Caenorhabditis elegans: one gene and its partners. The protein of the gene in region 1 interacts with the protein of each later gene in a biochemical or structural test. Each region holds a gene or a part of one and is shown in the gene's direction. Other genes may lie near its edges. The genes, in order: npr-4, flp-3, flp-1 and flp-4.

What was found.
Region 2: of the proteins of npr-4 (region 1) and flp-3, one has a biochemical effect on the other in vitro, tested with the Caenorhabditis elegans proteins (one study listed by BioGRID).
Region 3: of the proteins of npr-4 (region 1) and flp-1, one has a biochemical effect on the other in vitro, tested with the Caenorhabditis elegans proteins (one study listed by BioGRID).
Region 4: of the proteins of npr-4 (region 1) and flp-4, one has a biochemical effect on the other in vitro, tested with the Caenorhabditis elegans proteins (one study listed by BioGRID).

The regions. Positions count from the first base shown.
Region 1 is NC_003284.9:12,548,638-12,553,229, reverse strand, and holds the start of npr-4 (G-protein coupled receptors family 1 profile domain-containing protein), read left to right. Parts: upstream 1-1,552; 5' UTR 1,553-1,590; intron 1,591-1,640; 5' UTR 1,641-1,708; coding exon 1,709-1,773; intron 1,774-4,592.
Region 2 is NC_003284.9:10,091,446-10,094,505, reverse strand, and holds flp-3 (TPLGTMRF-amide), read left to right. Parts: upstream 1-1,541; 5' UTR 1,542-1,587; coding exon 1,588-1,651; intron 1,652-1,699; coding exon 1,700-1,897; intron 1,898-1,946; coding exon 1,947-2,123; intron 2,124-2,171; coding exon 2,172-2,287; 3' UTR 2,288-2,560; downstream 2,561-3,060. UniProt on the Caenorhabditis elegans protein: FMRFamides and FMRFamide-like peptides are neuropeptides. SAEPFGTMRF-amide inhibits the activity of dissected pharyngeal myogenic muscle system.
Region 3 is NC_003282.8:9,142,651-9,146,622, forward strand, and holds flp-1 (SQPNFLRF-amide), read left to right. Parts: upstream 1-2,054; 5' UTR 2,055-2,062; coding exon 2,063-2,116; intron 2,117-2,162; coding exon 2,163-2,262; intron 2,263-2,698; coding exon 2,699-2,785; intron 2,786-2,837; coding exon 2,838-2,957; intron 2,958-3,114; coding exon 3,115-3,211; intron 3,212-3,257; coding exon 3,258-3,327; 3' UTR 3,328-3,472; downstream 3,473-3,972. Other genes in the region: daf-10 (Intraflagellar transport protein 122 homolog), read right to left, coding at 1-108, 548-839, 945-1,164, 1,297-1,417, 1,493-1,608, 3,491-3,546; rpb-12 (DNA-directed RNA polymerases I, II, and III subunit RPABC4), read right to left, coding at 3,824-3,846, 3,896-3,972. UniProt on the Caenorhabditis elegans protein: Together with flp-18, plays a homeostatic role by acting on the GABAergic neural transmission at neuromuscular junctions to prevent overexcitation of the locomotor circuit. DPNFLRF-amide: Inhibits the activity of dissected pharyngeal myogenic muscle system.
Region 4 is NC_003280.10:10,047,158-10,054,912, forward strand, and holds the start of flp-4 (FMRF-Like Peptide), read left to right. Parts: upstream 1-1,710; 5' UTR 1,711-1,894; intron 1,895-7,467; 5' UTR 7,468-7,481; coding exon 7,482-7,631; intron 7,632-7,682; coding exon 7,683-7,738; intron 7,739-7,755.

The DNA.
Region 1 (4,592 bases):
ATGTAATACATACGAAAAAAAAAACAAAATTATAAATATCTGTGCAACAAGCCCACAAACTTTTCACTGACTTTGTTGTTTTTATGGATAATTCCAGTGTTTCTTACTAATTTATAAACGCTGATAAATAGTTATGTATTTTGAAAGCAGTCTCTGAAAAAAAACACGATATTAAATCAAAAAAATTTTACAAAAAAGCAAAAAGATTTGATATACATAACATTGTAACAGAATTTACGGCCTTTCCAACAAAACAAGTTTCTGTTGTCTTATAAAAATTATTCCAAAGATCTGGGAAAGTTCATTCAATATCCCCAGCGCTCATTACCATTTTCTTACGCATCGCACTTGGTCTCCGAACCTTCATTGCATTCACCTGAATCTTAGATAGCAAATGACGAAATCAGCCCAATCCTCCAATCATCCAATCGCAGACTTGAATAATCAACGCAACATTTGCACATCCTTAGAGGTCATCCCCGCATGACTCTATCATCCTTTTCTCCGAACCTTTTTTCCTCCGCTCTCCGCCCTCCATTCTTCTTTTTCCTGGCTTCAATCCCTTTTTTTACAACCAAATGGACCCTCTAAGACAATTGAGCAACGCCTGCGGAAGAAGGGCAAGCCAATCTGCAGTCGGTTGGTCCTTTTTTATTATTTACCTTACACTTGTTTCCGTTTTAATTGTTGCGATCTTTGTACAAGAAGAAAATCATGTTGGTTTTTGATGAAGTGAGTTCGGAGTTCGAATTGTTCTTTCAACTCCAAAAATCGAAGCACTTTTGTTTTATATTTTCGGTTTCACAGTATAACAAAAATTTGTTTGTAGAGTCATGTTTAGATTAGTATATAAAAATGTTAAATTCCACAAATTTGATTGAAAAACAAAAGTAGTGATTATTGTTTGTGTATTTCTCGAAACTTATTTTTCCAATTGTAAGGAAATATGAAATCAACTAATTCTATGGATAACATATAATTTAGTTTTAATTTGAAAAATAAAATAATGTTGTAGAACTTTAATGTAGTACACATTGAAAAAAAATAGGTTTGGCGGTAAAGCTTTCTAGTTCACCCATCTTCAAGTAATGCAAAATTGAAGTTTTCTTACCTGTTCTAGTTGGTTTTGAAATTCTCCTTAAACAAATTAAAGATAATTTTATTCAATTAAAAAATATTTTCCAGTATTTGACTTTTCACCAAAGTTAAAACAACTTGAAAAAAAGTTCAAGGTGTTTTCACATGTTCTAGTCTAGACTAGTTTCTTCAAAAGTGAAAAGACTTACAAAGGCAAAAATCCTTTGTCATTGTAATCCTCCGCCATAAAATTTTGTTTGTTTTTTTCTAAGAATCTGAAAATTAACTTTTCCGCCTGTCTTGCTCCATTTTTCTCATTCCAACTCGATTAGTTTATTGCATTAGTGCAGAATGTACAAACGTTTCTGAAAACAAACGCTTTTGGTGCCAGATGTTGAGGATAATATTAATCTTTTCTCACAATTTCTTCTTGTCCATTCTTTCTTTGAATTTATCTAAATACAATTTGTTTCAGCCCAGCTTGCCTTGGCACCAGGCTCTCATTTAATCACGGTAAGCCTCTCGGTCACTGTAAACTATATAACCAATCGTTTGATTTTCAGATATCAACACAAAGTTTACGGAGAATTGCAACTGAAAAGTTGTTAGGTGAAGACACATATACAGAACAATGTTACTGGAAATTGGCACAATAACAATCGGGAATATAACCCGAGCAAGAAAGTTTGGAGAAAGGTAAGTTCCTGAAAATGGAAAATGGGTCCCCCTCCGCATTTCAAATGAGGTGTCTATTAGTTTCTGGGAAAGTTGAAAGAGAAACCCTCCCACAACTCAAGTGTTAAAGTTCTAAGCCCAAATTCAGACACTTGTGAATATTAGATTATTGCCTATTTTGACGAGCTATGGTAAAAAAAACAACACTAATTTCGAGTGAAAACTCCAAAATTGTGGTGCACTTGTCACACCATCACTCATTCTCTGACAAATCTCGATTGTGTTTTTGAGCCAACCAGCTCTTATTCGTCGCCGTCAAAACTTTCTTAAATTGAAATCACATCTCGAAACCTTCTTCCGTTTTGCATAAAATTGAATTTAGTTCAACAAGTTTAAAATGCCACCCCTTTTCTAGAAAACAAATGATGACGTTTTCCACGTTTCTCAGTTGAGAACGAGTCATGCGACTTTCAATTGGTGAAGTTCTTTTTTTTTTCTTCTGAATTGGTGTTTTTCCATTACCAAAAAAAAAAGGGTTTTTGATCTTTAGATCAACATTCTCAATTTTTCGGTGCCAATCAAGATTCTTGGTGCATTGCGTTAGACAATACTGAATTGCAGCTAATCATGTAAAACAAGAAACAAATCATTGGCAAAATTGAGAAATTGTACCCAGTAAAACTAAAAAATATGGATCAAAGGGTGGTGTGAGTTTGTTGGGTGTTTTTCGCAGATCAATGGCAATTCGTTTGTGATTTTGAAAAAAATCGCTACAATTGTGAACATTGCTCTTTTTGACTTTTTGCTAACGATTTTACAATAGCTCAAATGTTGAACTTTTACTTTTCAAGATTCTTATAGTAAGACTTTTCTTGAACGATTTAATCTAGATTTTTTGGATCCAAAAACAGTATTCCTCTTACTCGTTGTACTTTTTGGCACTTCATTCTCCTACGGACCAACCACTTCATCTTTGCAACTTTTCGCTGACCTAAGATAATCAAATTCCTTAGAAGGAAGGAAAACTTTGAAACTTTCTCCCGCTCTCTCGAGTTTTTTATACCACCCACCTATAGTTCCTCTCTGTCTCTCTCTCCGTACTCATTTCATTAATGACGTTTTAAAATAGAGCCGCTAAAGAATTGATCTTATATATTAGGAGAGAAACGCATAGTGTTCGATCTTTGATGCTCAAAGCTCAAAATGTTAAAAATGCCAGCATGGTGTTATTATAATGTATCTGAAATACAAAATTAGAAGGTATCTGCAGAAATGCTGACGTGAAATGTGGGAAGGGGAAAGAGGAAAAAAGTTTTTACGATTGGTTGTGAGTAGGCGGAAAGATATGTTGTACAGCCAGTGGGGACATGATTAAAACCGTTTAATATTGCAAAAATGATAAAATATTATGATAAACTTTTCAAAAGCTATTGAAATTTTTTTTTACTCCGAGTCAAGATTTCAAAAATTTCATTTTGATATTTGGTAATTTTAGCACCACTATTGTAATGGTTTTCAATTATTTTTCACCTACCGTACTACAGCTTTAAGATTGTCACAGCACTCCGCTTTTTCTTTTGTTTCCTTTGAACCTGCTGAAGAACATGATTTTTTTTCCAAAATCTTTAATAATTTGCAATATTACCGTATACATATTTCCTGGTTGTTACGGACCTCAAAAATAATTTTCAGTTTATATAATTGTGATGTGCTTTTGTTTTGAAAACACCACATTGTCTAGCCCATTTGCTTTTTTTAAATGAATTTTTTATGAATTATGAAAACTACTTCCACTTAAAAAATCAGTGGTTCTGGGAAAATAACCATTTATTTCATTCCGTCTTCTTGTTTTTTTGACCGCGATGAACAAATACAAAATGAGAACATTAAAAGAAAACCAAAGTCACGAGACAACGTAGGCACCCAATTGTCTCGTAATTTATGAAAACACCAGTCACCAACCTAGAAGTACACCTTTTAGCCGGTCCCGATGAGGAAAACAATGAACAAAGGTTGAAGTTTTGCTATATGCATGTTTGACGCAGTCTGGCTTGTCCGGAACAAGATGTGCAATAGATTCGAGCTTTTGCGAATATTTTGGAAGAAATAGTAAATGGCCCGATATATCTAGATGAGACTTGGACGGAGGAGTAAAGTGGAAATTCGTTTACTTCATTCTATTTTGTGCTTAAAGAAGATATTTATCTGAGAAGCGTTGGGAAATGCATTTAACGGAAAAAGCCTTTCACATTCAAATTTTAATTTTCGATTCCTTGGCCAAGTTCATGTTGCGCTGCGATAGGCTTAGTATAATATTTTCGGAAGTTATTTGCATGTTCAGCAGATTGCGTCACAAATGCCATTTGTCCGATCAATTGAGCTTATTTTTATGTTACTATTTGGGAGGGTTGAGTAAGAAAATGCTAACTAACATCGTTTTTTGTCTTTTGAGATTTGAGAAATTTCTTATTTGCTTTCTCATCATTCTTTGTATTCTCAAAAATGAATGTGAACCTTGGAAAACGCTTGTAAGTTTTTTTTGATTCTTGAAGAGTTGAAACTGGGCAATTTTTCAAATTTATAGTAACTCGCAATGTTTTGAGAAATTTTCAATTTTCGGTTCTTTTTGAATATTACACATTCTACGTATTAGTTTCAATTTTCAAAATTGTTTAAAACGTTCATAATACACATTTCTCCCTAGAAAGAATGTTTAATTATTTTGTAAAGGTTCTCCCCAATTGATCACAAAAACATGTTGCGCATTCTGCTCAACTTGAATGCTTGTATCAATTATGAATGATGGTTTAATTTGAGTATTCACGCGCAAAAAACGTGAA
Region 2 (3,060 bases), 2.5 Mb from region 1:
CATTTTTTAAACTATGTTTCCTATAACTTCGAATAAAGTGGTTGGGTTCCGCATGGAATAATAGCCCATCTGTTAACCAAGTCTTACGTTTTCTTCGCGAACAAAGGAAACGACTACTGGCACTGAATTTCAGATTTTAGCCAGATTAGGTCAGAAAACGAGGCACACTATTTTCAAGATCAAAATTTTAAAATTCAGTCTTGCTAGTTCTTCAAAGAATTGTTTCGGAAATGTCAATGAGTGCTCATAATTAAACATGTGGAGTGACTTTGGAAGGTGCTAGAATTTCCAAGAAGCTTTGATTTATTAGTTTTCGTTTTAATTTCAAAACACTGTTCAATCTTGAGAACAAGATTAGTTCAACCTACTTAATCATTTCTCGCGTTCTGACAAGTGACGTTTTTGACAAAAAATAATGTTTAATTATTCAAAAACAGAAAATCCCCCCTCCTTAAAGCTCAGTTCATTAATCAGCTTCGCTTCACAAATTCGACAAGGTGGCATCTCAACCAACAGGCACCAATCGGATTCTGTCATTTCTTTCTTTTTTGAGAACAAATGTCTATCTACGTTTTGAACTAACACCAGTCCCGGTTTAAATTTCGTACCTGACAATTATCAATCAAGACTTACATTTGACTAGCTGTGCACGCAAAGATTTAATAATTGGCGGTGGGCTGTGTGAGAGTTGATGTCACAAAGTTACAGTATCCCATCAAAAAAATGGGTTCGAGTCGTCATTCTCGTTATCCATCTAGGCTTGAATTATGATGTTGAACATCAAAATTTATAGGTTTTTCGAGAGATCCCACCTCTTCCGTTAACCGCCGCCCCGTTTCAACACAATTCTTTCAGTTTCAAATTATTAACCTGAACTTTGAAAACTACCACCTACGCTTCTTCTACTAATTTCGAGTGTCTTTTTAGACTCAATTATCTTATTTCTTTTCTTAGAGTATTCCAAAAATGTCACATGACGATGCATAAATTGAGGTGCCACCGTTTTTTAATAGAAACTCTGGCCGCAATAAAAGAGCAATAGCATTGTTACTTGGCAATTTGTTTGAAGGAGTGTTGGGCGGCGGTAGACGTCGTACGTCAAATCGTGCATTTTCGAAGTCTTTTCTCGACACAATAGTAATCGTTTGACCTGTGCATTGCAACATCAAGGGACCACTTACTTTTTAGAAACCCGCCCCTTTAAACCAAATTGCCAACGCCTCCAATTTTTACCTGACAATAGAATGTACCGAGTACTTATTAAACAAAGTTGTTCGCCAAAGCTCAGATTTTCAATAATTTTTGAGCACCGGATTTCAATTTTACTCGTTTCACATGAACATTTTTCTAACTGCACACAGTATTTACGCATTCCTGACCAAATTTCTAAAACCCCACACACCTCTTCCGGCATGACAACTGAACCGTTAAAATTGTTGAAATTAAGCTCATATAAAAACATGCAAATATCTCGGCGGTTCACAACCTCACTTCTACTTCTTCTTGACTAAATTTTCCGTAACTAATTGTTATATTTTAAGGTACCCCTTGTGTGTTAGCTCCCGCGTAACACCACCATAACCACCAATGATATCGCCCAATCACCTCATCCTGCTCTTCTGTGTGAATTGCGCGTTTTTGGTAGCGTCGGGTAGGAGAATAGAAATTATGTTTTTGAAATAGAATGAAAAGTATTTAGATGCCACACCAAAACGGTCTCCACTGGGAACAATGCGCTTTGGCAAACGAGCCATTGCTGATGAAATGACATTTGAGGAGGATGGATACTATCCGTCAAATGTAATGTGGAAGCGGTCTACTGTTGATTCTTCGGAGCCCGTCATTCGTGATCAGCGCACTCCATTGGGAACTATGCGTTTTGGAAAACGAAGTGCAGGTATTATACAAATAATTAATTTTCAAAAACTATACCCACCTGTTTCCAGAGCCATTCGGTACTATGCGTTTTGGAAAACGTAATCCTGAGAACGACACACCATTCGGAACAATGAGATTTGGAAAGCGTGCTAGTGAGGATGCTCTGTTTGGAACCATGCGTTTTGGAAAGAGAGAAGACGGTAATGCGCCATTTGGAACAATGAAATTTGGGAAACGTGAAGCAGGTATACAGTTCTGTACTAAAGTTTGATTTCACAATGTTATGCTTTTAGAAGAGCCACTTGGAACTATGCGCTTTGGAAAAAGATCAGCTGACGACAGTGCTCCATTTGGCACAATGCGCTTTGGCAAAAGAAACCCTCTTGGAACCATGCGCTTTGGAAAATAATTTCTATTTTCACTTTTCACGTTTATATTATTCTCGCTTCAACTAAGTTTTCATGTTCAACACCCCCGCAGCAGTGGCACTCTCTTTTAACATTATTTATCATTCTGGCTTCTAATTCATACCAAAATATACCGAAACGATTGCATAATTCTTGGGCTTTTGCAAAAAACTAAGGAAAAACGACTATTCCATAATACCCCCTTCTCTGTTCTTCTCATCAAGTGGTTTGCATAGATTGGAGAATAAATTAATGTTATTATTCACTTTGTTAAATTTTGTTGTTAGTTGTTCACGCTTGACCAAAATAGTTAGCTAGCAAACTGTAAGATTCTCAAATTTAGTCTTTGCTTTTGATGGAGAAATTCTCGAACACAATTTCATGGTTCGCTCGTCCGCTTTCATCATCCGATTGGCCAAAACTTCCGGTGTTTTCCCCTTTAGACACTTGAAAACAAATATGAATTCGAACATTTCAGATGTTTACAGAAGACCAACATGTGCCAACCAATGAATGCGTGGAAACTGCCGGCTTCTTAAAGAAGTTTACTCAGCCTACTCACAATAGAACTATCACTAAAGCACAGAGTCAAGGAAAAAAATATTATGGATGAACTGCAAATTAAAAATAAAACGCTGAATGTTCACAATAAACGCATATTTTCCCTTTTCTGCTTATTCGTTTTGTTCTTATTCTGAACAGTCATCGTTACTAGTTCACAATGTTATCTGTTGCTTCATTTTTTGTATATTAAAAATGGAGTTATAAAATGCAG
Region 3 (3,972 bases), on another chromosome or scaffold:
ATGCTATAGTTCCATCAACACATCCCATGGCAACAGTTTGAGAATTTGGACGTACTGTCACTGACCAAATCCAATGATCCATTTGAGCAACTGTTCCGAGAAGTACTCCTATAAATTTATTTTCAACAGTCGATCATTCAATATTGTGGGAATTAATTTTTCAATTCCCTACTACAACTACTTACTAAAGGCAATTATTTCAGGTCACGATTTGACATCTGAAAGAAACCTAGTTTATTTGAAAAAGGGCCTCCAAACTAAGTTCCTGCAAAAAACTTACTTTAGCAGCAGTGGAGTACGTTCACTATTATAGAAAGAGGTTCAGTCAAAAAGAATTTTTAAAAAAGTAAATAAATAAAATTAAAATATGAATTAAAAATTAAAATAAAATTAAAATATGAAAAATGTTTCAGTGCTAAATTTTTTGCAGAGACCTAGTGTGAAGTTCCTCTTTCAAATAACGTAGGTTTCATTAAAAAAAAGTCTAATTGAGATCTGAAATGCTTTCCCTGTAAATTAAAAAATTATTCCCTTTTTCAAAACTGACCTTTCCTTGTGTATATTTTTAGAATCTTATCCGATCCACCAATCAATAAATATTCTCCATTTAAACAATAACTGATACAATGCGGTTCAAATTCCAAATTCTTTGATTCAATAAACGTTCCATCAAGTGAATAAAAAGAAAGTGTCTTATTCCAATCAATTACAGCCATTATTTCATCAATACCCATTGGATTTCCTTGTGAATCTCTTGATGCAAATGTGCGATTTGATGAGAATGCAATACCCCAAATTGGTTCATTATCACGTTGAATTATTATTGACGGTTCCTCGGTCTTTAAATTAATGTATTAACTATTTTAAATATCGTTTTTTAAACTAATATTTGCGGTAAAATATGTACATTTTCTGAAATTGAAATGATATTAATATTTTCTTACCGCATTAGTTCCCTTTCTCAGTGTGATTGTACCATCTCCATGACCTATTGCAAATATGGTACCATCTGTATTCCATGCACAACTACAACATCTCACTACACTTCTTTGTTTTATCACATTTTTATCAGCAGTGGACCATAATCCAAACTCATTCAATGCACAAGTTAATAGAATTTGATTGCATGGATTGAACATCATACATTGGATTACGTCTGTGTGACTGAAATTTATAATTACATTTTTGCAATTTCGTATTACGAATTTTGAATTTTCAACAAAAATTGTAAAACTACAATTTGCTAAAAAAATATGGCAATAGCCAGATTCTCAGTCTGTTCGGAAAAATTCCAACCTGTATCTCAAAGTTCCCTCGTGTTTCTCATTCCACAAAATTACCAATTTATCAGCACCACCTGATGCAAATAGTTCGCCATTATGTGACCATGCGACTGTGTATACTAGATCTTTGTGTCCTGAAATTCAGTTGATTTAGAGTTAGAGAAGGGCTCAATGAATTCTTACTCTAAATAATTTTAAAACGTACTTACCTTTCAAAGTTTGCATTTGACCACCTTCATTAACATCAAACAAGTAAACTTTGTTATCTGCAGCCAACAAAAGTTCAGAGCCATCTGGTTTGAATGCGAGATCATAAATGCAAACTCTGGAAATTAATTTCTATTTCAAATGATACGTTTTAAATTATAATTGAGGTTTTCCGGTTCTTAAAAAATATGTGGTAAAATGATAATCTAGCTATTTAATTGTTCACAATTTTTGAAGGAATTCCTAAAAACCCAAAAAAAAAAACTGTTCCCCATGGAAGCCTAATTTTCTTGAAATCTTTTTCATCGTCATCATCTTCCTGAAATTCCAATCCATAGAATGTGTCCCGTTTTGGATGTATAAAACATAATGGAATTAGTCCTCGTCAAGCACGTCTTACGGACCCCAGATGCAAGAAATACAATATGAATATTAAAATCAAATTAATTATTTGTGGTAAATATCATCATCATCCTACTCATACTCATCATGGGGGGTTCAAGATTGGATACGGTACTTGCAAAGAAGGCTTATAAATAGCTCACATCTTCATTGGTTTTCTTCACTTTATCATGACTCTGCTCTACCAAGTAGGGTTATTACTCCTTGTGGCAGCTACTTATAAGGTTTCTTTCTTGATTTAATAATTTCAAAATTATAATTATTATTCAGGTGTCGGCAGAATGTTGCACACCGGGAGCCACTTCAGACTTTTGTACGGTCTTCTCGATGCTCTCCACCATGGAGCAAAATGAAGTGATGAACTTTATAGGTTTGTTCCTTTTGATTTCATTGAAGGGTTTAGTATACTATTCATTTAAAAAATATTGCCTACAATTGATAAGGTTATTTAGATAATGATTTAAAAAACTTCCAAATACGGGGAAAATCATGGTTATAACATTTAATTAGATTGATTTCAAAATTTAACTTAAGATCAACTGAAAACATATTCTAACTCTATAATTAGGGTCTTTGTTAGAATATTTGGTCGTTAGAAAACCCGCTATGTAATCACAAAAAGGCCTGTCTCGCCTGCCTCATGCCTGCACGGGTGTTCGTTGAACCTTGTGCGTAAATCAAGACTTTGCGCCTAAATGTACAAAATAAGAGATAGGCGGGCAGGCATAAGGCATGCAAGCTCGTCTGAAGCAACGCCTTCCTGCCAAGGTATCTGATGAATTTTCATAATATTTCCTCATTTTCAGGTGAAAACTGCGATGGTGATGCCGAGGTGGCACTGCAAAAGATGGAAAAGAGAAAGCCAAACTTTATGAGATATGGGCGATCAGCAGGTAAGTCTAACCTTTTTCTGATAAAAAAGAGCACAACTTGGTGCTCTTTTAGCTGTAAAGTCGCTGGGAAAGAAAGCCGGTTCAGACCCGAACTTCCTTCGATTCGGACGATCTCAACCAAACTTCTTGCGATTCGGAAAGGCTAGCGGAGACCCGAACTTCCTTCGTTTCGGTGAGTATTTGAATGGATTGGATTTGAAGAACATTTCAGATCTAACGATTCGAACTAAATTTCAGTTTATTTGCAAACAAAGCTTCCTCTCATAAAGATAGTCAGTTAGGGAACAAAATAGAAAATAATCAAGATTCTAAATGATAATCATTTTCAGGTCGAAGTGACCCTAACTTCTTGAGATTTGGAAAAGCCGCTGCTGATCCAAATTTCTTGAGATTCGGAAAACGATCTGCAGATCCTAACTTCTTGAGGTATGTTAAAAACAAAAATTATAATATTATCAAATTATTTCTTCAGATTCGGACGCTCATTCGACAACTTCGATCGTGAATCCCGCAAGCCAAATTTCCTTCGTTTCGGAAAATAAGAAACTAAAACTTCGACCGTCAGCATCAGATCGATCACACTCACACAGCAGCTAATTCAGGAACAATTTCTCTATTTTCTCTATTCTCTTTTCGTCTTTTTATCTTTCAGTGTCATTTGTTTTTGAAAATGAAAGAAATATTTTGAAATTTTAAACAACTCACCCAGCTTCATTGTTTTCGTCTAAAATTTTGTCGACCCATAGTAAATTTGGTCGCATTTTATAAAATAAGTGGAACTAGACAAGAACAAGCAAATGCCTGAGTTGCGTTGAAAAGCATTGGTTGCTATGGAGATTCACAGGCGCACGGGTGCTCTTGTCCTTAATTTGTGTGCTTAGAATGCAGAACACCTGTCATTAAGCAGAACGACGATTTATTGTTAACGGTTAAAATTCGAAAAATTCATCGCTTTTGAAAGTGATGAAATGAGAAAAATACGAAGATCAAGTATGAAATTTAAAATTCAACAAAATGATACAGGTTCAGCCAGGTTCATTAGCGGGCGTCGTACACCATCACTGAAAGTTCAAAAATGAATTTTTGTTTTCTATACAATTTAAAACTTACACTTTCTGCATCTTTTCTTGTATAGAATACGATATCCGCATTCTCTGCAGCGAATGGCGTCTTTCGGTTTGATTTCA
Region 4 (7,755 bases), on another chromosome or scaffold:
AAGTTTGGGTTTCCCTATAAATAAAATAGAAATATAGTGAAAACATAGTGGCAAATGATATTGAATATGCTATAGACTTGGTAGAACACATTGAGTAGTTTGATGACTCGGACGTGAATAAGTAATTTGAAAAAAATAGCTTCCGCTGACTAAGCCCCTTTTAGAATTGCACAGCATTCTTTCAGATTTTCAATAATTTAATAATTTAAAATGACGATTTCGTCTTGTTTTGCACTACTTGTAGTATTTATAGTGCTTCCCAAATATCTTGAAATGTGTAATTGAAAGCCTGCGGGTTTAATAGAAAATTAAGCAGCATTTTTCTTTTTTTGTAGATGCTTTTCAATTTTTTTGGATTTTGTGGAGATGTTATGTTCTTTAATATTTATTCAAAAAAGGAGACAACTGGTAAAGTTAAATTTTTGCATCAAAACTTTTCCGAATAGATCTGTGGTCTTTTTTGGTAAATTGCCGAGTTTTGGAAAATTATAAAATTACCAAAGTTATTAGAAAAATAGTCCAATACGAACAATTTTTTTGATTTTTCATGCCCCAATCCGGAGCCCACACAAATACTTTTGAACTACATAACCATTTCCTCAATTTCCCCACGTACAAGTGGTTGCAAATTGTGCATTTCCTTCTCCTCCGAGCAGAAGATTGTTTGGATGAGTTGTCTGGATTATTTTTGGATCAGGAGCAATTTTCTGTTTATTAAAGAAAAGCGCAGAAAATAACACGAAAAAAAAGGCTTGATTTCTTGGTTCTTATTTTGTGCATGTTTTAGCGAAATTGCAAAATGTTGACCGATCTGATTTTCATAATTAGGAAAATGTTAAGACTTACTTATCTTTAGTGATTTCCCGAGACCTACGGATTCGGATTTTATTTTTGCAAAAAAGGAAAGTAAAATGAATAATTTCAATAATTCATTTAACTGTCTTTAAAAAATTTGAGCACTTGTTCCAATATTAAAAGTGTTCTATCATTTGCGGGGTTCCCAAAAAATCCTGCTATTGTTTTTTGTGGGATTTAAACTTTTTCAGCTCTTCAAATCAATAGGCTATTGGTGCATATATTGTCTTCTGACGTTTTTTTTCAGTTTCTATATAAAATTTTTGTACTTCCTTCTAATTTGACAGAATAATTCTAAAATCACATATTTGAACTGTGGGCGCTGAATTTTTTTGAAGAGCATGAATTTGAACCCGCAGCGACGGGTCTTTATTTTACAATACAGACGTTTTCCAAAGTTTCCCGGTTTTCCCCGAATATTCCAAAAGTTTCTAGAGTTTCTAGAAGGTTCTCAACCTTTCCTAAATTTTCTAAAATAAATTCGAAAGCCAACATCTACGCAAGATAATTTTTCAGTCGAACTACGGTAGTTTTCAATCAACTTTATCTAAAAATAGCCGAAAACCCCCATTACCTCCTAGTTTGGTATTCCAAAAGATCAAACTTATTGGGGTAGTTGGACCCCCATCCATCTTTTGGCACGTTTCATTCCCGAAGTTCCGTCATAAATTCGATGTCCCCCTCCACCTAATCATTGATTCGTCATGCCTTGTCAGACAAAACCCACGTCTTCAGCTTTTTGGTCGTACCACAATTTTTTCTCCAATGATTCCATCATCATTCCTCATTCCCCAGCTCGTAAAGAACTCAATAAAACTGTCCTCTTCTTCCTCAACCCATTCCTACTTATTCTACATATATTCCAACTTCCAGTGTCCATTCCATTCTCCTTTTTTGTGCTGTCTCCTTATTCTGTTTCCTTTTTTCCCCTATTCAACATCATTCCAGTCACATTCATTTGATTGCGCACTAGGCTCCGCCTGCTCACGCCTTTCTTCGCAAATTCATATTTGGATCTCAATATTTCCGCAAAAAATTGGTAGGTTTTTTTTCGCTTTGACATCAATAGATCTAGTTGACGTGAAAAGCAAACTGGCAAAAATGTTCTTTGAAATTCATGAAATTTGACAAAAAGTTTTGGTCTAACAGCAGTATCTTGAGGCCACAATGGAGCATAACCAGAAAACGTGGTGTATCTGACTGTTTTTTTTTCTGGAAAATCTTCAATTTTTTCGAGGAACTTCTTGAAGATTGTTGTTGTTTGGTTTAGTCTACGTGACCATTTGTAGCTGCCATAGTTATTTTCATTTTTCGTTTCAGAAATCGGAAATTGGTTTTGCTTGAAAACTAGCGAAAAGTGGGCGTCAAACGATTATTACTAAACACATATTGTTGATTAACTTCTAGAGTTTTTATTGGAGTATTTGACGTTAGCCATTGCAACGTCATTCATACAAGTATTTATATAAGACAATGTACATTTTTTCGTTCATAATTTTCTTGAGGTATGTCTAGTGTCTAGTGTATCAAATTTCTAGATATGTATTGTGGATCTAAATTTAGGGTATCTCCAAAGAGTTATACAAGGTTGTTTTCCAAATTAGCACCTCTAAATAATCGAACCTACATGATTTGAAATTGCTTTAAAAAAATTTTTTGTTTGAAAATTTACCAGTTTTTCAAAACATTTACTAAACATTTATTCAATACAGTAATGCATTTCAAAGCTTTTTATGACTTGAAAAAGCTATAGAGTACATAAATCTAAGCCCAAAAAAAAAACCGCAGACTTGTTTTTTATAAATTTAAAAAATCTTGAATTCAAAACACGTGTTCAATTTTGGCTTCTTACATGTATTGTTTTTAATAAATGTTCCGATGAAATCTGCAAGCCGATTTACTAGACTTACAAGAATAATTTCTGACTATTCATTGTTAATCTATAATCTTCTTATCATGTTACATATTATCTAGTTAGTCATTTTCTTGTCTTGTTCTGTTTTCAATTTCACTCATTTGCTCTCATATTTCTTTTTCCTGAATTGAACCTTGGACGCTCAAAAGCTAATCGAAGAAAAATTGCCGAGATTCGGGAATTTTGATTGATGTTGTCGAATTAGTTGTTGCTTGTTCGAAAGTGACAACATCAGACAAAAACACACACGGATTTTGAATTATTACCTATCCATGTTCCTTTGATTTTCTATTAAATTGTCCTTTAAGGTTTCAAAAATGTTCGGAAAACGTAGGTGTAACCTGAAGAGTTAGGAGGAACGTCTATTTATGGTCCATCCAAAAATAGTTGTTGTTATTCAATTTGCGGCACCGAATCTTCAGATATTCGAAAGTTAAGAAAAACAAGAAGTTAGCTTTTAGGACTGAAAGACAGCTTCCTGCAAAAATGTTCTTCTTTTTATGGAAACTTGAGAGCCAAGTTCAAAAGATGAAAAGTTAAGTGGGCGTCTTATTTGTGTGGGCAAAAGAAACTGTAAATACATTTTTAGATTTAGTATATATGCAGGACTACTTTTCTTTCTTGTTATAGTTCTTGTATAGCATCGTCGTATGCACGCACGTCTTCAGGAGTATGTTTTGTATTCATGTTTTTACAACTTTGGCAGTAGTCATGACATATTTCCAAGGAACGTAGGTTACCTTGAAGGCAGGCAGAATATTTTCAGCATAACATGGAAGATTTAAGTTGTTGTTGAATTACGTAGACAACAAAATAACATTTTGAGAGTTCTTTCTTTGCTAATTGTATTTACGTCTCCTATAAAAATTGAGCATAGAATAAGATCATTCGTTCAGATTTTCATGCTTCTTGGATCGACTTATAAGTGTACCTTTATATTACGGGCTACAGTAAAATTTCCTTCTTTTTAATTCAAAATCTTCATTCAAACATCTAGCTGCTACACAACAGGGGTGTGAATCAAGGGCTCGAAAACTGGAAATGCCTGATAAATATTTTGCAAATTTTAATATTCCGATTTGGAAGTCGCGTAGTAAAATGGTTTTCAAGGAGCTTCGAGGTCTTCAAATGTTCTTTTTTTTTAGAATTTCAAGCTTTCACGCACTTGATTTACACTCCTGCTCCCTGACTCCATGACTGTTTGATGAGCTCTTTTGAACTTTAGTGGTTTCTGGCTTCTTCAATAGTCCAGACGTAATAAAAAGTGTCCTTCTTTAGAAAATTAAAAGTTGGAATACTTTCCTTAAAACTATGGGAGAAACTTCTCTTACTCTGAGAATTAAGAAACTGTTTATCACTATTTAAAATTCCAGTTGAAGCATCGTGATCACAAAACTCAGAGCTTTACCACAAATCCAGAAAACAGAAAAGAGTTCTTGAAAATTATAAAATCTTTACGTGGGAATCTGAATACGTAGAGAGCTCTGGAAATTTACTTCCAGATAGGAATTTCTATCATTACACCGGGAAAAATATATCAAAGAACCACCATATTTTTTTATAAAACTCTTCAAAATGTAGTACGTGACTGTAGCCCAACTACTCAATTAATTCCAATTGCGTCATTTTTCCAAAAAGGCATTTCTCAAAATTTTCTCAGGATTTTCCTTTTCAATCCATCATATTTTCCAATTATTCTCAGATCAAACCACGCACCATGACAATTTTTCCACATTTTCCAATCCAATTTTTAATCAAACTGATTCTGATAACTCATATCACACCTAATAAAGTAATTCTACACCACGAGTTTGTACGCACAAATCTACAAATTGTGACCAATATCCAGTGAATTTCTTAGTATTTTTGCATGCATTTTTAAGCACCTCCAACTGTTCTTCACATTTCTTATTATTCCGTTCTTTTTCTTTTTTCTCTGCTGGGACACATTTTCAGCGCCGTGTGACGTCATATAATTCATTGAAATTTTAGAGTTTCAATGTGGTATTAGAATTAAATGTATTTTTGCTGTACAAAGAATATTCATTTTCAAAATACTTATTAGGTTTCATTATGCCACACTACCTGACTGATCATCTGTTACAGTTACCTATGTGATGAGTTTTCGTGATAGAAAATCCGGAAAAAGACACGGATGTGATTTTTGACTATGCTTAATCCTGAGAGACATCCATTATCGCAAACAATAGAACCTAAAAGAAAAATTAGAGTTTAAGATAAATGTTAAGGTTATTCAAAAAATAGACTTTTGATCTTATTTGAAATGGCATGCGGAAGAAACTATGAATGAACGAAGTTTATGACAAAGATCTGAATCCTACGCAGTACGATAATTTTCCTGAACGAAAAACAGTAGAAAGCTTTCAAATGAAGAACATCCAAGCACATACTGTTCGCGTTATTTTACTTTGAAATGATCTCTAAAGGCCCCCAAAATGCTTACCTGCGTGCCTCTTGGACATTTTGTGATAGTTTCGATGATATGTATTTTTGTGCCTATGAATAGGCTAGGTGATAGATTTCCTTGTTTTAAGACAAACACTTCCAGCAAGCTTTTGAAACTAGACTAAACTTATCACAATTCTAATTTTATTCCTAAGATCGCATTGTCAATTCACTTTCCGAAGATCATCTCGTCCATTAAAAGATTATTCTTTTTCACAGTGTAACCTAAACCTTGATTCATTAAAACATGAAAATGTAAGCAATAGATTAATATTAATCCTAATCTTAGACTAAAGTCTGATATGTGTCGTAATAATACCCCTTTGGTATTTAGTTAAGGTTTTTTGAACTGAAGGTTTAAGTATAAATACCTAAGAAATCCACTCTTACAACATTAGTTTCAGCTTTTGAATTTGGCAAAGTGGTGAGTTCAACTTTTGACTCTGTCTTATTCATTAGAAGTTTTATTCTCCATTTTGAAAATCTATCAGCTTCTGAAATCTTATCAAAATCACTGAATTCCAGCAATTATGGAGATCAATTGACAATCTACATACATGAATAGGTAGGCATTTTTTGCCTACACTCAACAAAGTTTATGACCACGTTCGAGACAGTAAATAGGTGATTTACTAATTGAAGTTAACCCGTCACTACCGTAACCCTAGAGACCAATAGATATAGACACAAACTAAAAACCAAAGGATTATATTTCATTGAAAACCAAAACGTCTGTAATAATTTCTTTAGACACATAAAAGAAGCTCGACTAAAAAATATTAGTTATTTTAGAAGCTTAAGTCTATAATTAATCCCTTCCGAGGAGGTTAATGTGAGTTTGAAGTTTTAATAAGGATCTTTTATAAATTCGTATTGTTTACAAACTTATAATTTTTGATCCATCGGATAACAGAACATGGATTCAACGCATAATATCTGAAATTGACAAGTTTGAAAAATTTGGCTGGCTCTAAAGATTTAGTTCTGGTGTTTTTTCCAGCTATCCTTTAAGCTTCAGAAATTTGTTTGGAGAACCATTGATTTTTGTTTAAATTTCATAGAACTACTTCTAACGGACCACCAGCATAATTTTGAACCCTTGACGTCAGACCACACCCACATTTCCTTCTTTTCCAACAGAAATTATGCAAAATTTGAAAGTTCAAGAGACTTCACCACTCAAATGCTCATATCGGGTGTCCAATCAGCTCGTATAATGTTCAGAATAGTTCTCATGTTTCATTACTTATTATAAAAAAGGTCTTTCGGTCTTTCACTTCTTACGTGGGGGCTCAATGTCTTCCAGGAATCGGGCGCACCGGTCTTGATGTTCTCCGAGATATTTCTTTGCATTATTGATACGTTTTTTTAAATTTTCTTTCTTCTCTCTTTGACGTGCGTTTTTGTGTCATTGGATATTTAAATAAAATATTACGATTAGCCAATAAATAGTATTTACCGTATTTTTAATTAGTCCCAGGGTGAACAGTATAAGAGAATAATTGAAAACTTTTTAATCAACTCAATGATAATTTAGAATAATCCCGATCAATTTTCAATCTCCAACCTTTTCCGAAAACTATTCCACACGCCTCATTGCAGATGTTTTTTTTTGAGAATTGAACCAAAATGTCTAGATAACAAAAATCAGCTTGCACAGGAAATATTTAGCACGTCAAAGTTTTCAAAAATTACGTCAAAATGTTGAAGATGCGTCAGTTGAGAAACATTGGTGATTGAGTTTTTGAATAAAAGGCTTGAAGTTTGTGAAAACGGATGTGCGTTTTTGTTTTTTAGGAAACCTATCACTTTTAGACACCAGTGAAATGTTATTTCCTCTATTTTTGGAGAATTATTGAAGTACAATTGTTTCATGGTATTTTCCAACTGAACGTCAATTTTTTTTTAAACAGGTAAACCAGAAATGCCAAAAAAGCAACCAAAAAAAGTGTTCGAATTTCGTTTTCAGGCGAAACAAAAATTAAAAAATTTTGAGCTGGGTGCGGCCAAACTTTGGGCAATCCCGGTTTATTCACCCTTTGTTTAAGTTAATATTGATAAATTACTTGTCCTCTAATTTTTTAATCCAACCATTATCAACGTCACACTGACTCCACCCCTTTATCAATTGTTCTCCGTTTCTTTTAAAAGCACCTGCTCAACCTTTTCGTCGCATAATTTTCCGCTTCAAGCTCCCCCTTCCCCTTCTTCATTATTTCTGCAATTTTCAGACAACTACAGCGACATGAACGCCTTCTCCTCTTCCCTTAAAACATTCATCTTCTCCTTGCTTTTTGCCACGTTGCTTGCACTCACAGCAGCTCATCCACCGTCATCTGGTGAAGAAATTGCTGAGCAAGAAGAGAAGAATATTGCAAGTCCAGATGAACTTATTGTAAGATTTTTAAAAATTGAGAAAAGTTATAAAAATAAATGAATGTTTCAGCCGGAAATTGTCGAGCAGCAAAACTTCTGGCCACCAGTGCATCTTCGTGGATTACGGTAAGTAGAAAAATTGC